Linked DNA regions of Drosophila melanogaster. The protein of the gene in region 1 purifies or fractionates together with the protein of each later gene. This does not show direct contact. Each region holds a gene or a part of one and is shown on either strand. Other genes may lie near its edges. The genes, in order: Syx5, Vti1a, Syx8 and Ykt6.

The links.
Region 2: the proteins of Syx5 (region 1) and Vti1a purify together in Drosophila melanogaster (affinity purification with mass spectrometry, with the first as the bait; one large-scale study listed by BioGRID). This does not show direct contact.
Region 3: the proteins of Syx5 (region 1) and Syx8 purify together in Drosophila melanogaster (affinity purification with mass spectrometry, with the first as the bait; one large-scale study listed by BioGRID). This does not show direct contact.
Region 4: the proteins of Syx5 (region 1) and Ykt6 purify together in Drosophila melanogaster (affinity purification with mass spectrometry, with the first as the bait; one large-scale study listed by BioGRID). This does not show direct contact.

What each region holds. Positions count from the first base shown.
Region 1 is NT_033779.5:16,304,473-16,310,697, forward strand, and holds Syx5 (syntaxin 5), read left to right. Parts: upstream 1-2,873; 5' UTR 2,874-3,187; coding exon 3,188-3,857; intron 3,858-3,925; coding exon 3,926-4,659; 3' UTR 4,660-4,802; downstream 4,803-6,225. Other genes in the region: c(2)M (crossover suppressor on 2 of manheim), read left to right, coding at 1-272, 325-632, 691-825, 883-1,007; CG5861 (uncharacterized protein), read right to left, coding at 1,487-1,848, 2,043-2,151, 2,222-2,360, 2,469-2,542; cni (cornichon), read right to left, coding at 5,431-5,458, 5,528-5,671, 5,795-5,907, 5,969-6,118. UniProt on the Drosophila melanogaster protein: Mediates endoplasmic reticulum to Golgi transport.
Region 2 is NT_037436.4:690,133-695,680, reverse strand, and holds Vti1a (vesicle transport through interaction with t-SNAREs 1a), read left to right. Parts: upstream 1-2,761; 5' UTR 2,762-2,902; coding exon 2,903-2,996; intron 2,997-3,060; coding exon 3,061-3,659; 3' UTR 3,660-4,195; downstream 4,196-5,548. Other genes in the region: CG13894 (uncharacterized protein), read left to right, coding at 812-2,398; RabX6, read right to left, coding at 4,271-4,732, 4,882-5,061.
Region 3 is NT_037436.4:16,585,608-16,588,784, forward strand, and holds Syx8 (syntaxin 8), read right to left. Parts: upstream 1,451-3,177; 5' UTR 1,372-1,450; coding exon 834-1,371; intron 781-833; coding exon 620-780; 3' UTR 501-619; downstream 1-500. Other genes in the region: UQCR-C2 (Ubiquinol-cytochrome c reductase core protein 2), read left to right, coding at 1-417; CG32163 (uncharacterized protein), read left to right, coding at 1,762-2,193.
Region 4 is NC_004354.4:7,917,786-7,923,516, reverse strand, and holds Ykt6 (YKT6 v-SNARE), read right to left. Parts: upstream 3,109-5,731; 5' UTR 2,842-3,108; coding exon 2,717-2,841; intron 2,628-2,716; coding exon 2,153-2,627; 3' UTR 1,551-2,152; downstream 1-1,550. Other genes in the region: hdm (hold'em), read left to right, coding at 3,386-4,301, 4,353-4,509, 4,613-5,000.

The DNA.
Region 1 (6,225 bases):
CCGCATAACATTGAACCAGCTGAAGTAACTCAGATAGTTTGTGAACCGTCGTTGCCATCCGTTTTAAATTCTTTTGGAGAAATAACATTTAGCCACCCGAAAAATCGGAAAAGAAAGCTAATAGTAGACAAACGAATTGAATACACCCGGGAGCAGCTGGTGAAGCATAGACAGAAATATATGGAAGAATACCTTTCAAGGAATGTGATAGTGCCAAAATCCTCGGATTTACGGAAACCCCCTAAGGAACTTCTCTGTAAACTGTATAATAAGTAGGAGCCTTATACATTTTGCTATTTAAAACTTTTTAATTTTTTGATGTAGTGTAAGTTTTTTAGCTCTTCATAACCACTCCGGACCTAAGCTCAGTAATGAAGAAAAGGAATTCGAGGCAGAAAACACATTGAGAACCATATTTGGCTGCGAGTTTACCGAGAATCTTTCTAAAGAGATATTTGTGCGACCATCGCAGGCTACAAAATGTAGGGATAAAGCGGCACATATCTATCAGCCCGAACCGCTTGAAGTGGAAGACTGTGTGCAACCTCAACTTCAGCCACGTGATGATGTAAATCAGAATTATCATAATGAAATGAATGAGCACGGCATATACCGTGAGGATAATCATGATGGTGAGTTCAGCCAATGTTTACAACATGCTATCGTAAATAAAATATAATCTCATTGCAGATACCTACAGCGTAATGATGAGTCTCTTAAGCATTTGGCGTAATAATCCGAAAATCACGGGAATCGATGCCATTGATTTTATAAAAACGTTTGATAGTCGCATCAAGGCTTCGTTAGCCTTTCTCCATTTGTTGTGTGAGTTCGAAAAAGAACAAAATGTGTGTTGGAAATAACGTATAGCTTAAATTTCAGATCTTGTTCGAGACCATTTTATAGAGATATCAAAGCGAGCTAATTCGCTGGAAATGTACCAAATTACTCTTGGCAAAGAGTCCGCTAAGCTAATAGACAATCTTATGCTGAGTGAGACTCTGTGAATATTTTTAGATAATTTTTTTCAAGATTACCAAACAACTTTGTAGTTGACAATCTTCCACATTTTTGTTGTTGTTTTGTTTTCTGTTATTGCTATTGTGTTATAACATATAAGTTGAGCCAATCTCTAACCTAGATGGCTTTAATCTACTCTTTTTCCATACAATCTTATGGTACAATTGAGCAACGATGTCCTGGATAATTCGTTTCATTTCAAGAATTGAAAAATTCTATAGATGTTACTTGTTGCTGTCTATAAAAATAGTTTTTTTTTCATTATCATATTAGTTTCGTGTACCCATTAAAAGTTGTTTGTTATCTTTGTTACTATTACGTTATCGTAGCTATAATTCATTAACATTTGGAGTAATTCTCTAAACCGTAATTGTTGTCTTTGTTACAAAATCTCAATTTCTCTGACAACACCAAAAAATAAACAAGTTACAAAAACAAAGGAATACAGAGTGTTTGGCACAATTGCTTAAATTCCGATCTGCTGGGCCAGACCCGAATAGATGTGCAGCGTGCAGAATCCAATGACGGCCGCCACCAGCGCTTTAACAGCCACCGTTAGCCAAGGTCCAATGGTCAGAATGTGGAGCATGCCCTCCAGCCAGACGCCTTTGAAGACAGTCACCGCCAGAAGTAGACTAACCAGCGGCTTTAATGCCTTGTTCAAATCGTGACGGGTGAAGAGCCAGATCAGGGTGGCCGTAGTGATGTGCTGCACCAGAAGCACGTTCGATTCCAGACACTTGAGGATGTAGATCCAACTGAACTCGGTGCCTCGGGCACCCACCCACAGCATGATACCTCGGGAAAGAATCACTTCGGCGGTGGCCCCTGCGGAAGTATACGAAAATATTTAGTTTTTACTAAATTTTTGGAAGTTGTCATACATATATGGGTTGGGGTATTAAAGGTTGAGTAGGCATTGGCTCTTGTAACATTAATATATCTGAACAGAGTACTTTTCAATCTTTAAAAGCCACCCTCATCATTAATTAAGTTTAAATAAGTTGGTTCGTTCAACCTACATCCAAGTCCAGCCGTTATGAGCTTTGAGTGGCCCTTGCCGGGTATGCGACTCAAGATTAGGGCGAATCCAAGCAGATCGGCGATGTCCATGCTGCAGCGAAGAATCTCCTGCAGACCAAAGAAACCACAACATGACCTCAATAATTGGGTGAAGGTAAACAAAGATAAGCACACGTACCGCAAAGAAGTTGAACTCGCCGCTGGAGGATGGAGCGTCCGAGTAGAAGAATGTGGCCAGCACCAGCATCTTGACGAGCTGTGTGAATATATAAATGCCTCCCGCCTGCACGCACTTCCAGAAGGCTCCATATTCTGATCTGTGATTAAATAATAAGCCGGGAAAGTTCACAAATAGTTTTTTATTGACCTGGTAGAGCTGCGGACTTGGCAGTCGGCAAATCACCAGTAACCAGAAGTAAACTCACAGGCCGGAGTATTTATAGGTGAAGTAGTACGGCGTCAGCAGGGCCACACAATTTCCAAAGTGATACAGTGTCATTTTCTTTGATAAATTATGGCTATTTTATTTTGGCTTAATTAAGAGAAGAATTAAAAGTTGAAAAGAAAAAAACTAGCGTTGCTTGCCGTGGGTTATCGATATGTGCTTAACAGGGCTGACGGCATGTCAGGCAGACTATAAAAAACAAGCTAGTTTTGCAGACAATATTTTACAATAAATATTTTAATAATAACTATTATAAATAAATATTTTGAAATATTGGAAAACGTGTGTCTTTCCGAACGAAAAGAAGTAGCAACTGTTTTAATCTGTTTCGTGCCTATCGATAGTTGCTTAAATATCAACACGTCATCGTAATCTATCATCTGGAGGTGTGTTCGTGTGTGTGAGAAGAGTGTGTGTGTGTGCGTTTGAGTGAGTTTTCTGCAACCTTTAGCAATTATTATGAATTTTTTGACAAAACCATTGGGAAATACTTGAACGGAGACCAAATTTTACTTTGTTTAGGACACACAAACCTGCCAGCTAAGTGACGAGCCAAACATCAAACGGTAAACCAGTGCATTAAAGGAGAAAAACAAAGGGGAAATTTTCGCAAAGAAAAGTCCAACAGATCATTTCGTTCGTGTGCATATGAAAAACAGCAACGTCAACTCCCTGGTAAAAGCTGCAATCTGAAATGAGATGCAAACCCGAAGACGCCTTCATCAAACAGACCAGCAGGATTACAGCAGTAGCAGTACCTATACCATTCAAGAGGATCAACAGGGAGGAGCAGGCGCAGGATCTGTGGGCACGGGAACAGCTGGCGGATCGGTAGGACTATTAGCACAGTCCCTGGTTCCACCACCAACTGGTCACGAGGCGGCCATCCACATTGGAGACAACTACCAGTCGGGCGATTCCATTTCCACTCCCGATTACTCCGACGACAAGTACGGCAAGGCGGCCCGCCAGTGGAACCTACGCGCCTTCTCGGGCCACGCACTGCGCACTTTAAGTGCCGCTGCCGCCGTGGTCACCGGCAATCAACCGGGCATCAATAACGATAGCCAAAGCAACTATAGCTACCCCGCTTCCATTCCGACTAGTTCACAGTTTTACCAATCGAAGGAGGAGCCGCAGGAAACGGAACCCGAACCAGAAATATTCGTCATGGCCGCACGCGATCGAACGGGCGAGTTCGCCAATGCGATTCGTTCCCTGCAGGCTCGAAATATCACCCGGGCAGTGAATATACGCGATCCCCGCAAAGCTAAGCAGGTTCAGAGCTACTCGGAGTTCATGATGGTCGCCAGGTTTATTGGCAAGAACATAGCCAGCACCTACGCAAAACTGGAGAAGCTCACAATGTGTAAGTACATGTTTTAGTAACCCCTTAAAGTCATATTCAAAACTTTAAAATTCCCATCTTCGTTTTAGTGGCCAAAAAGAAGAGCTTATTTGATGACAGACCGCAGGAGATTCAGGAGCTGACCTATATCATCAAAGGCGACCTAAATGCCTTAAATCAACAAATTGCCCGACTGCAGGACATCTCCAAGGATCAGCGGCGTCACACAAACGGCAAGCATTTGGTGTCACATTCCTCTAACATGGTACTGGCCCTGCAATCGAAACTGGCCAGCATGAGCACGGACTTCAAGCAAATCCTGGAGGTGCGCACGGAGAACCTCAAGCAGCAGAAGACGCGACGTGATCAGTTTAGCCAGGGACCAGGTCCGTTGGCCGCGCACACCGTCTCCCCCTCGACAGCCAAGCAGGGATCTTTGCTTCTCAGCGAGGAAAACCAAGCGGTCAGCATAGATATGGGGAGCAGCGATACCACACCACTCCTATCAACCCAGACACAGATGGCCATCTACGATGATTCCGATAATTACGTCCAGCAGCGGGCGGAGACCATGCAAAATATAGAATCTACCATCGTTGAGCTCGGCGGAATATTCCAGCAGCTGGCACATATGGTTAAGGAGCAGGAAGAGATCGTGGAGCGTATTGACACGAATGTGGCGGATGCGGAATTGAATATTGAGGCTGCCCATGGGGAGATCTTGAAATACTTTCAATCCGTCTCCAAAAATCGCTGGCTGATGATCAAAATCTTCGGCGTTCTCATATTCTTCTTCTTGTTCTTCGTTGTTTTTATGTCGTAATCAAACGCCAGTTGCCCATTAAAAGCCCCATGTACCTATCCATGTATACAGCTTTTTATTTTAATCAAGATTCAATCACAATATTGTTTATTCCAAGCTGTGGCCTCCCGAAACGATTGTAAAATAAAGTTATAAATACGTTCTAAAGCAAAATACATTTATTTTAGCATGTGGTTCTTTGGTGAATTTTTCCATTCTAATGGAAGCTCTAAAATTAAATATAATTTCCAAAATATAAAGCCGAATGATAAATATGTTTGCTGATGTAAGAAACTTGTATATTACCTTAGAAAACGTGTAATGCAAGTATCAAATTGGAGAGAGACTATATCTATGTTTGCCCTGCTGATAAGGTTTAAGTGCCCTTTCATAATCTTTATTATCTTAAGTGCTCGTTGCTCCATGTTCGTCGTGTTTAGCCAAAAATTCCGCTGTCCCTCATGCTAAACAGAAAAATGAAAATTGGTTACATTGATTTGACTTTTATTTAATGCTTAAAATCCAACTACACCAAAGATGCGATATGCAAAAAATAATCAAAATAAAAACATGTTACAATCTCTTACTGCAGAAAAGTATTACAAATTGTATGAAAAAAACAAAGCTTCAAGATGTCTTTATGGATTTACACTAGAATTTACAAGTGAAGTATTGTTCGCGGTTGATGGGGACTCTTCCCCAAAAAAGGAAGTCCTCTACCCGAGTTTAGACAACTAATACACGACGCTGATGCGTTGGCGCCAACACTGAGATCCCCAGGCAAGAGCTTGCCTATGTCGAGATGAGCGAATAAACCATGCTAAAATTAGCAATTAGAAACGTTAGACAAATGAGGACCCTGGCCACAATGAATCTCAATTAGACTTACCCGTATATGTAGTAGAAGAAGCTAATCAGATAGACGGCCAGTTTAATCCAACCCTCACGCATGTTCCGGTACAAAGTATCGGTTTTCAGGACCGTGGTGGGATCATAAAGTCCGGGTCCCGACATCACAGGGCGGTTTTTGTAACTGAAAGCGATAGGGGTATTACAAAGCATGAGTGCTTAAGGGTGCTTATGTTGGGCTTGGGTGAATCTTGATCTCCTCGGATCTCAAATCACATTATATCACACGGTCAAATGAGTCACTTACCGCCAAATATGATAGGCTATGAGGGGTATGTTGATGCATAGCGAAAACCATTCGCCGCAGAACAAGAAGAGCAAGTTCAGAAAGATGTGCAGAAGGTATTCGGGCAAAACCAGCTGAAATGCAAACACATACATTACAGGGCGCACTGCGGGTGTAAGCAGTAAGTTTACTGACCGGATTGAGGCTATTGCACTGATCAATTGGGTTCTTATAATCCGTTTTAAGTTCGTCGAATGCAATGACATGAAATATGGCGAAAAATATCAAGAATGCATCCCCGATCAGGGCCACTATGTACGTGAAGGCGGTGAAGTTGAAGGCCATCTTGTAAAATCGCTGGAGCACGTCTTCCAGGTGCTAATCAAAGTGACTTGCTAATTATTATCGTAAAATTCGGCTTTGCAATTGTAGCGCTGGGACTCACTTGTTTT
Region 2 (5,548 bases), on another chromosome or scaffold:
TTTTTTTTCCGGGGGCTATATTGATTTCCGAAGGCGTACGCATGTATCTTTTGGTTTTGTCTCTGTATCTGTAAAATGGCTAGAGTGGTCGTGCTATTGGCATATGCTCTTTAGAGGTTTCGAGGTTGTTCCTATATACTGTGATATACTTTTATAAAAATATGTATTGGCTTGCCATTATTTCGATGACTCATGTCATCTGCTGTAAGTCCCAAGAGATAGACACTAGCTTGTTCGTCGAATTCATTTTTCATTTGTAAAGTTGTCCTTCTAGAGTTGCTAACTCATTGGTTTGTTGTAAATATCTGTGTTCTGGGAAAACACGATCTCAATCGGGTAATTTACTCGTTTTAATCATGGAGATCAGCACATTAATTTATTGTTATTTGCCAAACTCGTATACGTTTGAAACTGAAATATGTAAATATAAAACTCCGATTGCATTGCAATATGGAAATCGTGGGCTCAATTGCACTAAGATAGTTCAAATGCAGACACTTGTTGCAAAGTGCGCCAAGGAAAAGGGTTAAAGGATGCCAGACTCCATGTCCTAGCCCAGAACTTGCCAGACCTCCTGAACTTTGGCGGTAAATTGAGAACGCGACCATGAAGGAACACAGAACATCGCAGATACTTAAATTGAAGTTAAATAGCCAGCTTAATAATGTGTGCAAACACTCTCTTGCAGATTCCAGTGGATTTGTTTTAATTTCATTTACATTTCGTGACCTGGCGAAGCGTGAGCAACGCCAGCACTCCAGCATTTAAGATTCGGGGCCAACAGCAATTTCATCCTCATCCGCAGGTCGAGATGCCGACCATCCGGCGGTGCTGCATCATCGGATGCTTGTCCAATTCGCGTCAGCACCCGAGTATGCAGTTCTTTGCGTTTCCCCGGCCGGAGAACCCCTTCCACAAGCTGTGGAAGGAGGCGTGCCACGCCTCCCTAAGACGAATTGTGCCCTTCAAAAAGCCAGTGGTATGTGCCCTGCACTTTGACCCCAGTGTCTTGGGTGGCAGGCGACTGCAGTCGAATGCGCTGCCCACCCTGCGTCTGGAAGTTCCCTCCAACCTGGAGGCCGTTGAGCAGCAGGCCATGGTGGAGGAGATCGAGAGGAGCCGAAAGTGCGCCTACATCAATGCAGTGGTATACGAATGGCTAGTAAGGGCCAATATCAATCCCCAGCTGCGAGGTAGCATTACCCACGGAATGATCAAGGACAAGGCGGAGAATGCCAGACAAGTCATAGGGAGCACATCCTTTATAGCAGACAATCGCTGGTTAAACCGTTTCCGAGAGACTCATCTTCAAGGCTTTGCCCAAAAACTAGCCAGCAACCAGTTGAAGCCACTAGGATCCTCCCTGTGGATCCCGGACATCGTACAGGACCTAGCCCATCTCTTTCCGCCCGCGAGCGCTGAAAGAGTGGCCAAACTGGAGGAGATGCCCGAGCAGTACATGACCTACATGCAACAGTACGGAGAATACGAAGAAGATGATGACAGTATGGATGTAAAGGAGCAGAGCTATCAAGAGCAACAGCAGCAGCAACAGCAGCACTTTGCCCTCCAGCAGCAACATATGCAACAGCAGCAGCATCAAATGGGCCACCCATGGCCACCGTTTCCAGGACATCCCGGACATCCTACTCCACACCCCGGGTTCGCCAGCTTCAACGACTTTTATTTCGAGCGGCATCAACAGCAAATGCAACAGCAACTCCAGCAGCAGCAGCAGATGCAACAGTTTCCACCCACTATGCCACCTCAAAGGGAACCCTTTCAGCCCCAATTGCCGCCAAATGTTCCACCGCAGCGGGCCAGTCCCTTCCAGCCCGTTCAGTTGGCCAAGAGACCCAAAATGGAGTCACCCGATGATGACGAAGTGCAAGAGATTAACTCAGCGGTGAACTCACCACCATATCCGCTAGCAGAATCAACCTTAACCAGCAAGCACAGTCGAAGTTCCAGTCCCAACGAGCAGAACAACAATAATAGCGGGGGAAGAGACAGTGCCAGCAGCAAGGAGAACGCCCCCAAGGGAGGCGGAACAAGTGGCAAATCCACGCCTGCCCTTTCTTCCAAGGGAAAGGACTCACCTGCACCAGCTCGAGCTGCGTCCACCAAACCCGCCTCTGCTCCCGCCTCGCCAAAAAAGATCCCCAATGGATCCAGCTCCTCCGGCAGCCAAACCAATGGACACACATCCCCAGACCCCGAGGATAAGAAGGCTTTATGCATGCTGAAGGAGTTGGAAAGCTACCACCAGGCCTTGGAGTACCTAAAACCGCTGGAGGACTTCGTGCTCTTCAAGGAGAACTTTCGGGCTATTGGCTTGCTGTCCCAATTGGAACTGGTGCTCCGAAAAGGGGACAAGGCCACACTGGTCGAGGGTTAAGAGTTTTCTAATCGCGGACCAGGACAGCACAAAACATAAATGTGATGAACAGTGTACATATGTATCATGTAGTATTATTAAATCGTACTACCGCCAAAACAGTTGCTTAGGTTAACAAAGAATCTCCACTCGCATAAAGCTGAACCTAATTAATTAATTTATTAATTACTCTAAGTACAATAAAATGGAATTTATAAAATAATAGATATGTTTGTGTTTTATTTACGTATTTAAAACGGAAGTTGGTTTTATCTGAGTTCTTACGAGAATATTGTAGTCCTTGAAGTTGGCAGTGTTTTTTACATGAGTATGGCAACGCTGACTCGAAATCAGAGTGACCACGACTTAAAAGTATTTATAGATTGCTGTATTACTGTTCACCTCATGACTCGGCCACACTTGGACAATGTTTACTTCTTTTCTTCGATAAATCTGTAATTTTCGCGAACTAAAACAGAACAAATACCATAAACAACTGAATAAGGTAGAATAAAAACCGCACAAATGTCGCTTCTGGAGCAATACGAACAGCAATACGCCACGTTAATAGCAGAAATAACGGCCCATATTGGACGGCTGCAGCAGCAAAACAACAACAGTGAGTGGGATGATTGTCCATGGATTGTACATTATGGTGATTACCATTTGTCCATTTACTCCAGGCGAGCGCCATGATTTGTGCAGCAAGATCGACTCCAGTTTGCCCGAGGCTCAGGAATTGCTGGAGCAGATGGGTCTGGAGGTGAGGGAGCTAAATCCTGGACTGCGGAGCAGCTTCAACGGAAAGCTGCAGGTGGCCCAGGCAGAACTGAAACGGCTGCAGGCGGAGTACAGGTTGACCAAGGACAAACAGCGCTCCCAAGCCAACACATTCACCACTCTGGACTTGGGTGACAGCTATGAGGATGTGTCCATAAGTACAGATCAACGCCAACGCCTCTTGGACAACTCGGAAAGGATTGAACGGACGGGCAACAGGTTAACCGAAGGGTACAGAGTGGCCTTGGAGACGGAGCAACTGGGCGCCCAGGTCCTAAATGATCTGCACCACCAAAGGGAAACTCTACAGGGAGCCAGGGCTCGACTTCGAGAAACCAATGCCGAGCTGGGAAGAGCTTCTCGCACTCTGAATACCATGATGTTAAGAGCCCTGCGGGAGAAGGTGGTCTTGTATGGAGTGGGTGTCTGCTTTGTGGTGGCCGTGGGCGTCAGTCTCTATCTGACCTTCGCACCCAGTTCAAGCAGCACCGCCTCGTCGTAGTAATTTTAGCTAGCAAACCAATAGCCAATGATCTTAGCCCAAATTCAAATGTTATAGAAGCCTGTCCATTCCAATTTCGTGAGTTGATTATTTATTGTTTAGTATATTTTATTTTTACGAGATATTCTGTGGAAGAAAGCTGCAGATTACGCACTAATCTATATAAGATAGGATGGAGTATTACGTGCAATAAGAGTCGAAGCTTAGAGTAGTTATCTGCGGTCAATCGATGTCTATATATTTTGTTGTCCTTTTACCTTTAAGATTAAATTGACCTTCTTGTTAATCGATGGAATTCCTATTACTTTTTAATTCTTACCGCAGATTTCTAACCTATCACTCGCGTATCCGCCATCCTAGCTTACGTGTACAAAGTTTAAGTGGTTAATGTTTGGCGCCTGGTTAATAGAAACTAATCCTACTCTATGACTCGTGTTCGCGTTCGGGACGTATTTTTCGTAAAAATTCGAATTGAACATGTACGTATCTAAAAATCATAACATAGCCGAAAGCTATCAATAAATAAAGGAAACAGTAAAAATGCATCTCTGCGTGAGCATTGAGCCTGGCGGGAATAAGGGTTCCTAGCCGAACTCAATGTTCCCCAACTGCTAGCAGCCGCAGGAGGAGGCGTCCTCCTCGTTGGTCGCCGCGCCGCTGCTCGCAGTGTCCACCTGGAAGCTCTTGTGCTCCAGTGCCTGCAGTTCCATTTTGGAGCGATTGGCGTGGACCAGTTGCCTAGAGATGTCACGGAACATCTCCTCCACACCGGCGCCGCTGCGACAGGAGGTCTTGTACGTGGCACTGATCAGTGAGTGGCACTGCTCGCAGAAGGCCTCCACTTCCTCATCGCTGACCTCCGGCTCCCTGCCATCCAGATCGCTCTTATTGCCACAGATGAAGATCTTGGCATTCTCTGCATAGGTCACAATGTCCAGCAAGTGCTGCGACAGCGAGTGGAACGAAGCGGCGTTGTCCAAAGCAAAGACCAGGATGGCTCCCTCGGCGAACTTGTAGTACGAGGATGTGACCGAGGCCACACGCTCCATGCCACCGGTGTCCCAGAGTTGGAGCTGTCAAAGAAGACGGTATATACATAAGTGTCTCACAACGCAATAAGTTGTAAGTCTGAAGAACTGTGGCTTTCGTCTAGAAATCGAACTAAAGAGCTTAAGGATTCATATCTCAGCCATCACGCCCTTTTAGAGGTTCCCGAGCCCACCTTGATCTGCTTTTCATTCACACTGTATTCCCTATCGATGTGGTCCAGTCCCAACGTGGATTTCCTGTCCGTATCCGTGATGAAGGTGTTGGTGGCGAAGCGCCGGAACAGGGAGCTCTTGCCCACTCCGTAGTCGCCGCACAGGATCACCTTTTGTTTGGGTATGCGCATCGTGGCCATGGCTGTGATCGCTCGATTAATCCCAAGTTAATCCAATTAATATATTATTTTGCACCTGCAGACACAAAGGCGACAACAACAGTGCGACAACAGCTGTTTGTGCAAAAACAGCCAACATCGCAGAGTTGCCAGCCATTTGAACGCTATCGATAACCGATAATTCGAGTTATTCGAATTCAAATGGTCTTATCAGTTGAGATCTGCATTTGGTTTTAGTTTAGGCAAAACAATTCCACCCATTATAATAATAATATACAATATTGTAAAATTGTTTATGAAAAAGGGATTATTTATGGAGGAAGTTATCGTTTCAACATTAGTTGTACCTAAATATACGTACATAAACAGATATTCAACTTCTTTTTAAAAGGGAATATACAAATTCAAAAATGATTATCATCCCTCTTCTGAATGATTGAAAGAACCAGATCGATAGAAGTTATCATTTTTGAAAAACTATTATCTGATGTCAAGTTCTGCTGATAGT
Region 3 (3,177 bases), on another chromosome or scaffold:
AACTGCGCCGGCGGCGTCGGAGCCTCTGTCAAGGCTGTGAATGCCAGCTACTCGGACGCTGGTCTGTTCGGTTTTGTGGTCTCCGCCGACTCCAAGGACATTGGCAAGACCGTGGAGTTCCTGGTGCGCGGCCTGAAGTCGGCTTCGGTGTCTGATAAGGATGTGGCCAGAGGCAAGGCTCTTCTGAAGGCGCGCATCATCTCGCGCTACTCGTCGGACGGTGGTCTAATTAAGGAGATCGGTCGCCAGGCGGCGCTCACCCGGAACGTGCTGGAGGCGGACGCCCTGCTTGGCGCAATCGATGGCATCTCGCAGTCGCAGGTCCAGGAGGCGGCCAAGAAGGTGGGCAGCTCCAAGCTGGCCGTCGGCGCCATCGGGCACCTGGCGAACGTGCCCTACGCCTCCGATTTGGCTTAAGTATATAAACACCTGTACATCTGTTAACCGTAATGTAACGACTAAATAAACCTGATCAAGGGGATCGATCCGCGAACGTAAATACTTATAAATCCTACTTTAATTGGTGTATACATAAATAATCAAACTTTGGGTTAACAGATAGACATTCCACGCAGGTCATAGTATAAAGTAGTATAACAACTGGAATGGATCGTGGGAGCTAGACGAAGACCACGACAATGATGGCGACGAACAAGGCTATGATGACGAGCCAGTAGCCCCAGGTACTGTCCCGCCGGTTAACCTGTCCAATGCTCTGTGTTTCCCGCTGCACACCCGTTTCCACACGGTCCATGGCATTGGCCAAGTTGTCAAGGATATCTACAAGGAGGTAGGGATTAGCATTGGTAGTGCAGGGACTGGGGAATACCCACTGTTCTGGTCCTCCACCTCGTTGCCCAGCTGTGTGGCCAGTTGGCGCTGTCTGGACAATGTGGCTGATAGAACCTCGAGTCCTTCGTTCTGCTGCGCCAGCATCTCGGTCTTTTTCTGCTTCAGAGCCTCCACATCCAAGGCGGTATTCCGCGAGGAATTGCTGTGACCTGGGCCGAGATCCTGATCCTGCCAAGCAGAACCGGATGCGGCCGGGACATTGGAGCGGCTACTGTTTGCGAACTTCTCGCGGATCTCGCGCAGCTGCGAAGTAAGTCTATCCCAGTCGATGCGCCGCTGTTGCAGCTCCTCCTCCGGGCTCGTCTCCCAGGTGATGGCGTTGTCCAGCACCACCTTGAGGTGCTTCATGTCCTTGGCCAGCTGCTCTATTCCCGTCTGAATGCTGCTTGTCAGTTGGACGAACTGGCTCGTCCTCGGATTGAGCTGCTGCCGCTGGTTGAGGTATACCAGCAGCTGATGCCGCAGTCGCTCGCAGCCCTCGTACTCGATGTCCCAGGAATCGTGATCCACCAGCGCCATTTCTCTGCTTTTGCTATGAGTAATTATCAAAAGCAGAAAACTACGCCTCCAGCAATCCAAGTAACAAAAACAAAAACAATAGCCGAGCAACAGCTGATGGCTGGTAGCAAAATAAGTAAGCGCGAGTACGGTCACATTGCCAGTAAGAAGGGATTCGGAAATAATCTTCAATGTTTGAACTGATTTAGATATTATACTTATGTAGCTGTAGATAAGCTGGAAAAATGCACCGCGATTAATCCCCAATCCTTTATCAATTCACCTCGCAGGTGCGTTGCTAGTGTGAACTATTTACTAAATAATTTAAGCTGGTCACTCGAAAATCGTCACTATGATGTGAAGTATGATTATTCGGCCCGAATTCCTGAAACTACTCACAAAAATTAAGAAATGCTTTCCAAATTGCTTCCAATTCTGATTCTGCAAGGTGGCCGAAGAACGTATTCCTTGTGCTCGAGAGATTACACCATCCCCACAAGTAACCACACCCTAACTGGTCAAATTTTAAAGGTTCCAAACCTAAATTCGCAGGAAAGATGTTTTGGTACGCACATTGTTGTCCGGCATAAGAGAGGTCGGTTCTACACCGACATTGGCGAGCTCCGGGCTGTATTGGTATACTCCATCAGGGACGGTGTGATGACCATCAACAGCACCAACGTCCCGGAGGAACTGGGCGGACATGGCATTGGGAAGCTACTGGCCAAGTCGGCACTGGACTACGCACTGTTGAATGGGCACTTCATTATTATAAGGTGTCGGTTTGTCCAGCACTACATCGACAAGTATGAGCCGCAATACGCCAAGTACATATTAAATTAGGGAACCGAAAACAAAACTTCAAAATTGTCGACACAATCAAACTGAACACAAATAAATCCCCCCACTATGCACATAGACACCATACATATAAACGTATATTTGCGTTCAGATTTGTTGAATTCCTTCGGTTTTTGAAAAATTACATGAAAATAATTTGAATTGGCTTATTTTTAAATTATTTCAAAATTTCTAAACCGAAAGGTAACAGATTATATTTAATGACGAAATTACGGTTTCTTATATAAGCTATTTTGTTATGCTTCTAAAAACAAATGTTTTATTACCTCTTTAAAATATGTAAACTAGTTTTCACAATATATTTTAAAAAATTGTTAATTTCCATATATACCACCTTGCATTGTGTGACCACCCTGAAATTAGCAAAGGGCGTTGCCAGACTCCGGCCACCCACGCACATACGATAGTTGGGACCGGCCCGGCGCGGTGGACAAAGTCACGGTATCGATATGGTGACACGATTCACCCACACATGCATGCATTGGGCTACGATGGCTGTGACACAAGGTGTGAAGAAATCACTGGGTTACAATGAGCGCTATTTATAAATATTTTGGAAGTATGCTGCAGGATTTCATAAAAGTAGTATGCAATTGGTATGCTTGATTCATATTGTTTAAAATTTGCTGTGCTACGTCAATTTTGTACTTGAAAAATATGGAGTCGTGACATGCCGCCAAAGCGGTGACTTGTCACGGTGAAATAATCGCGACTAGTAGCAGGTACGCAACTATCGCCCATCGCTAGCTCACACGTACACACAATTTATTTAGTCGTGATTTCTATTTTATTTGTTTCAAATTACAACCAAGAAGGAAACAAATCGCGACCAAAATCCGCTGGCCACAATGCCGAGTGCCTGTACAAGCGTGCGCGAGCATTCCCACTAATCGGAAGCGAGCGCATCCGCCGTTTTGAGCGTTTTCCGCGCGGGAGTGGGAAATCGAAAAGGCAAGGCAAGCCATC
Region 4 (5,731 bases), on another chromosome or scaffold:
TGTTTTGTCTTAAGCTTTATCATTGGTTAACCAAAATATGTATGTATATACATGTATCAATGTCGATAAAGTCGATAAAGTGAATGCATTTACCGTTACAGTGCGATACGCACAAGTGCCAAAAATGCAGCAAAAACACCCGCACACACCCACGCACTCGGACACACACAAACAAACACACACACTCACACGACAAACAATTAAACAAAGACACATCTGTACACGCCAACACCCACCCACACAGACACACAAGTTTCTTATAGATGATACAAACACAAGCGAACACATTACATGTACATGTGTACATGCACGCAAGACCTGCAAAACAAGCATACTTTTAAGCGCCAAAGTTAGGAGCGGCTTTTGAGGGTTCTGAAAACAAAATATGGAAACCATTAAACACTAGAATCGTGGGGCAAATAACATTTAGCTGCTGCATGTAAGCTAAAGTTGCCACCGGCAAACGGAACTAACTTTAAAATAATAAAAATAATGCAAGTTGAAACCAAAACCCATTGTGATAACAGCTGCGTAAACGAAACACGTTAGAACCTTACTTGTACGTATTTCGATTGGAATTCGATGAAACGGGGATCCCCCACTAAGTCCTAAATAATATAAATTCAATCAAAAGCAAGCAAGCCAACAATTTATCCAAACTAGTTTTTAAATGAATACAAAACTCATCCAGCCGCACATACACACGTATTTTTTACTGATTTGAAAAGAAGGGAGAACTTTTCTTGATTTTCATTTGTTGTGTTGACCAATGCTAATTTTTAGCGAAAAAATTGAGAAGAAAAAATACACATACCAGGAAACACAAATGCAAATTCTTAGCCATTTCGAAGGAGCGTGCATTTAGAACATTGCATCGACTAATATTTACACTTGCATATATTGAAAGCATTTGAATAAATTCTAAATATTACTATAGATCACTAACACAAAAAAAAAATGCATACAATGTTGATGCAAATCAATAAAAAACGAGAAGCCAAGCAAACGCGTTTGAATCAATGTTTGCAGCTTAAGCTAAGTTAGCACACACAATATTATATTAATTATAACGAAACGATATAGGTATGCAGTATAATGCATATATTTATAATGCACCGCCTCCCCTTTCTCCCCGCGCAAACACACAAGAAAATTGCGATGGAGAGGGGGCGAAAACTAAATTGTAATCGATTTACCTATCTTATACTAGGCTATACAAACCGAACCCATTAAACATAACCAAAATCCAAAAGGTTAAACACGAAAACGTAAGGAAAACGCATAAATATGAAAAATGTAACGGAAATCTTTACAAGAAGCGAAATAGGTGTCTTCTATATAATAAATAAACGCCAACAGAAAATCACTTTTAAATTGATTTTGCTTTTTTGGGAGGAATGGAATTTGCACTTAAGATAAAGTGGTACGTATTACATAAATAAAAATAAGTTCATGTGCTATGTACAGAGCTCGTACAAATAGTTTGTACATTTTGCCAAAATTGACAAAGATAAGGTTTGTATATGTGAGCAATGAAAACGAGCTTGGTTCACATTTCCCATAATACTTCTTTATTGAAACGCCCACACATTCCGACCGCCAGTTGCCCGGATCGGAAGTGCGACTGCATGTGTATACATAGGTGCAGCCTTCCGATCCGATTGGTATACATAGATCCGCCGTGGAGGCGATAAGAAGGCCCACAACATCAATAGCTAGCAAAGGGCCAATTTTGGACCGCCGTGCCAACACATAAGTGAAGAGAAGATTATGTTAAGCACATGGGTTTAGATCGTAATCTGTATTGGTAGTAATTAACATTTAGATATCCAAAGCGTAGACATATACAGACAGGTAGACATTGGGTTAGCGGACTATCGTAACTGGCAACTGGCCATCCTATTCATACAGTATATAATATAATATATATATATAGTATATAAAATTAACTAATTCATTTATAAAAAGCAATCATCAAAGCCCAAGTCGCACCGCTCCCTTGGAGTTTGTTTGGTTGTAGTTTGTTGGTGTTATCGTGTTATCCATTATCCTTTGTGTTGTCTTTGATTTGCATTTTCTGGTGTTTCCTGTTGTGGTTGTTGCTTGAGAGGATTAGCGTGTGGTGGGGGGTGATGAGAGGTGCAGCTGTCGTCTAGGTGAAGCTGCAGCAGGAGTTAGTCTTTTTCGCCGTCTTGTAGAACGCCTTGCTCTGCAGCGACAATTTCTCCGACTTGCTGACCATGTCGTCCAGCTTCTCGCCCCGCTCCAGCACCGCCTCGATGGTATTCTTCAGTATGATCTTCGTTTCGTCCAGGTCGTTTTGCATTTTCGTCAGCGGATCTGCTTCGACGGGATTTTGATAGCGTGCTAGAAACGCTGGCAGCAAGTCAAATGAGATAGTGGCCTCCGTGCCATTGGGCCACTGATCGGCCGACACCTTGGCCGTAAAGTCATCCAGAATCTTTGTGATAAGCGTGTGCGCCACGCGATGCGGATACTCATGATCGGCGATCAGTACACCGGCCAGATTGTCCGCCCGCACATAGACATGACACATGTAGGCATCCTGTTTCACCGATTGCCGCAGGGCCGGCTGTGTGCGCTCCACAATCGTCTTCGAAGCGAAACTGCAAGAGGAGGAGTTGTTTAGGGGGGTGTTCGTCATTGATGACTCTTTGAGCCTGCGCCGTTCTTTGGCATCCACATGCATACTCACGTCATGAACTCGTTGACGGTGCCACGTTGGAAAAAGGAGAAGGACTGCAGGTCCGAGGCGGTCTTCAGGAGACGCGCCTCGCTGGCGCCCTTGTGAAAGATGCTCAACGCGAATAGTTTGACCATTTTGAGTGGCTGTGGGCTGCCAAGACTGGGTCTGCGGGTCGCGGGTTGCTCGACTGTTGCTCCTCCAATTAAATGCTTCTGGGGCACTGAGCTGAACGGTTGTCCTGGCTAATCCTACTATGCTCCGGCGGATGGGTTTCACTTTCAGCGCACTGGCATTCGTGGAAAAGTGCGACAAGTGAGTTTGTTTAACGCAGTAAATCTGTGCCGTTCCCCTCTGTGTGTGCGTGTGTGTGTGCGCGGGTGCACATATGCGTAGTGTGTGTCAGCTTATTAGGGATGGTACGTCTGGTATTCGGATGCCATCCGATTATTATCGATTCCAATGGTTACAATTAATAAGCGCAACTTTCTGTAAATGTTTTAATTGTGGTTTTTATCAAACTAAGTTGTTAGCAATACTTTCTGTTACTAACTGAATCTACGGCCATTTGTGGTGTACCATCACTACAAACATCGATAACTACTAATCGGCGGTAACGGCAATGTAACGGTTTTCTTAAGCACTGCAATCTGACTGGTCGCGATTTCTTAAATAATTTCAATGGCAAGGCGTATTAAGTTCCAGCGGTTGGCAGAGATGCGTCCCACAATGACCCGTTTCTCCACCGTTGCCCTGATTGTCTCCAAATCCTCGCCGAACATCTTCTATGACAAGATGAGTGGCACCGAACGAGGGGTTCTCAGCTTGACCATCCGAGATTCCCCCAATCACCTGACCAATTGCAAGTGCTGGGGCCAGCGGGACTGTGTGGATGAGTACGCGGCCATGCTGCAGATCGGCCATGTGGTAGACATTGTGGGCGCTAAAGTGATGTCCATACCGTTTGCTGCTCCGGGAGAACAGCGTTATCAGCCCCAAGCGACGGTCTCCTGCGCCCTGGTGGTCAACGAGGGATCCGGCTATGTGGTGCGCCACGACAATGACGACTTTGGCCAAATAACAATTCTCCAGCAGTTACTCCATCAGCCCATAAGGCCACTTGGTGCGGTCCTTAAGCTGGCGGATGTGCGTTCCGGCTTGGGATTTCCCGATAAGATAATCACCACCAATGTGAATCTACTGGTAGTAGTGGCTGCAGTGCGTCCAGTGCGTCAGATAAAGCGAAAGCTGCAGGGGCCACTAAGTGAGGTCCAGGAGCTGCTACAGTGCTTGGAAGTAATCGTGATCGATGCCAGCTATCCGGAAGGTATGCTGCTCTCCGTTTGGCAACCCGACTGGATACAACGTGCCCAGCAATGGCAGCCACGTCGCACTGTCCTTCATTTGATCGACGTGCGTGTTTCCTACTCGAACTTTCATCGTTCTCTCGTCCTCTCCCATTCCAATTGCACACTTATTTGCGAAAATCCTCAGGCGGCTGGAGATGATTGCCGTCTCTTGCTAGCTTTCGCCGCCACTGTGCCTCTAACAACTTTTAGTGGCTGTGACCAGGCAGAGCTGGACAACATGCCTGCAGGTGAGTAAAGGATAATTAATGCAGTATTATTATTTACTATAACTCTTTCAGTTGCCAGCATTCAGGCGCAGATGACGGTAAGACAGATATATTCACGCGCCGAGGGCGAACTGCAGGATCCGTCCATACATCAGTTTACTGCAGTGCTGTATGGGATGGTCACCAAGTTCGACTTGGATGGATTGACCTCCCACGTCAACAGGAAGTGGTGGGTGTTGTACATCCCCATCCCTTCCTAACCGCCGAAACGCTTCCCACTATCCGTTACATAGTTTACAAGACATATTCTTAAAAGCCCTTTTATTTTACAGCATTGCCTGTCAACAACATATACCACGGAACCTGCAAGATTGCGCCTCGGACGCCTGCCAGCAGTATTTTTCATTGGACAATGATGAACCACGATCCATTAGCTACTTCAATATCAACATTCATTTGTCCGACCAGACCGGCACTCTCGTCGAAGCCCGGTTAGCTGGACATCCGGCAGAACGTATCCTGGGACTTCGGGCTGAAGACTTCGAGCGACTGGCGGAGCGCGAGAAAAGCGAGCTAAAGTGGCGCTTTCTGCTGAAATACTTCGAGGTAAGATTGATGATCAAAAAGCCGGTGGGAGTGCGCAATCATCTCGTCATTGTGGTCGTCGACATGCAAGCCATTCCCCTGGAAAAGCTTGTCGCAAATATGGTCGTTTTCTAAGTGTATGTGGGGTGGTCCCATCAAAATACTGGTGAACCATCTACATAAATAGCGATCTTTATTTCGCATTTTCACATAAAAGTGTACAACTGCAATACATAAATAGATTGAAAGCGCCTCGAAACTCTTAATGTGGGTCCTAAGTGGGATACGTTTGGCTCATTGGGGATGAATCATCTAAGTGTCATTTTGCCTAGTGTTACAGAAGGTGCCGGTGTCTTTGGGTCGTGGTGGTGGTGGGTGGGTGTCTACGGGGCGTTTCAGGTCCACAAAACTGATTTTGGGTCAATTCTAAATGTTGTAATTTCGAGTTGTGTGTTTTAACATGGTATCAAAATGCATTTGGATAACCACAAATGCTTAAGGATTAATGCTTCTTTAAAGTCCTGACTTGCGACTGTTTTATTGTGTTATCAAACGTTCTGTTTTTTAAGACAGCCTCAATCAACGCTTAGTCTTTAAGATTATTTGATACCATTACCAATTTTGGTCAATTAGGAAATTTCAAATACAATTTTTAATTGATGGTTATCGATGTGCAACAATTGAATCATTTTAATACAAATTCGAAAAAGAATACAATGTGTGTCAATACGGAAGTTGCTTTATGGCCATGGAACGCACTGTTCTGGACGCCCATTAGCTTGCCTCAAACTAATCTCACCTGTTGTGTTTCTATAATATTTTTGGGGGGAGGATGGATCTACAGCTGGCGCGGCATGGGAATCACA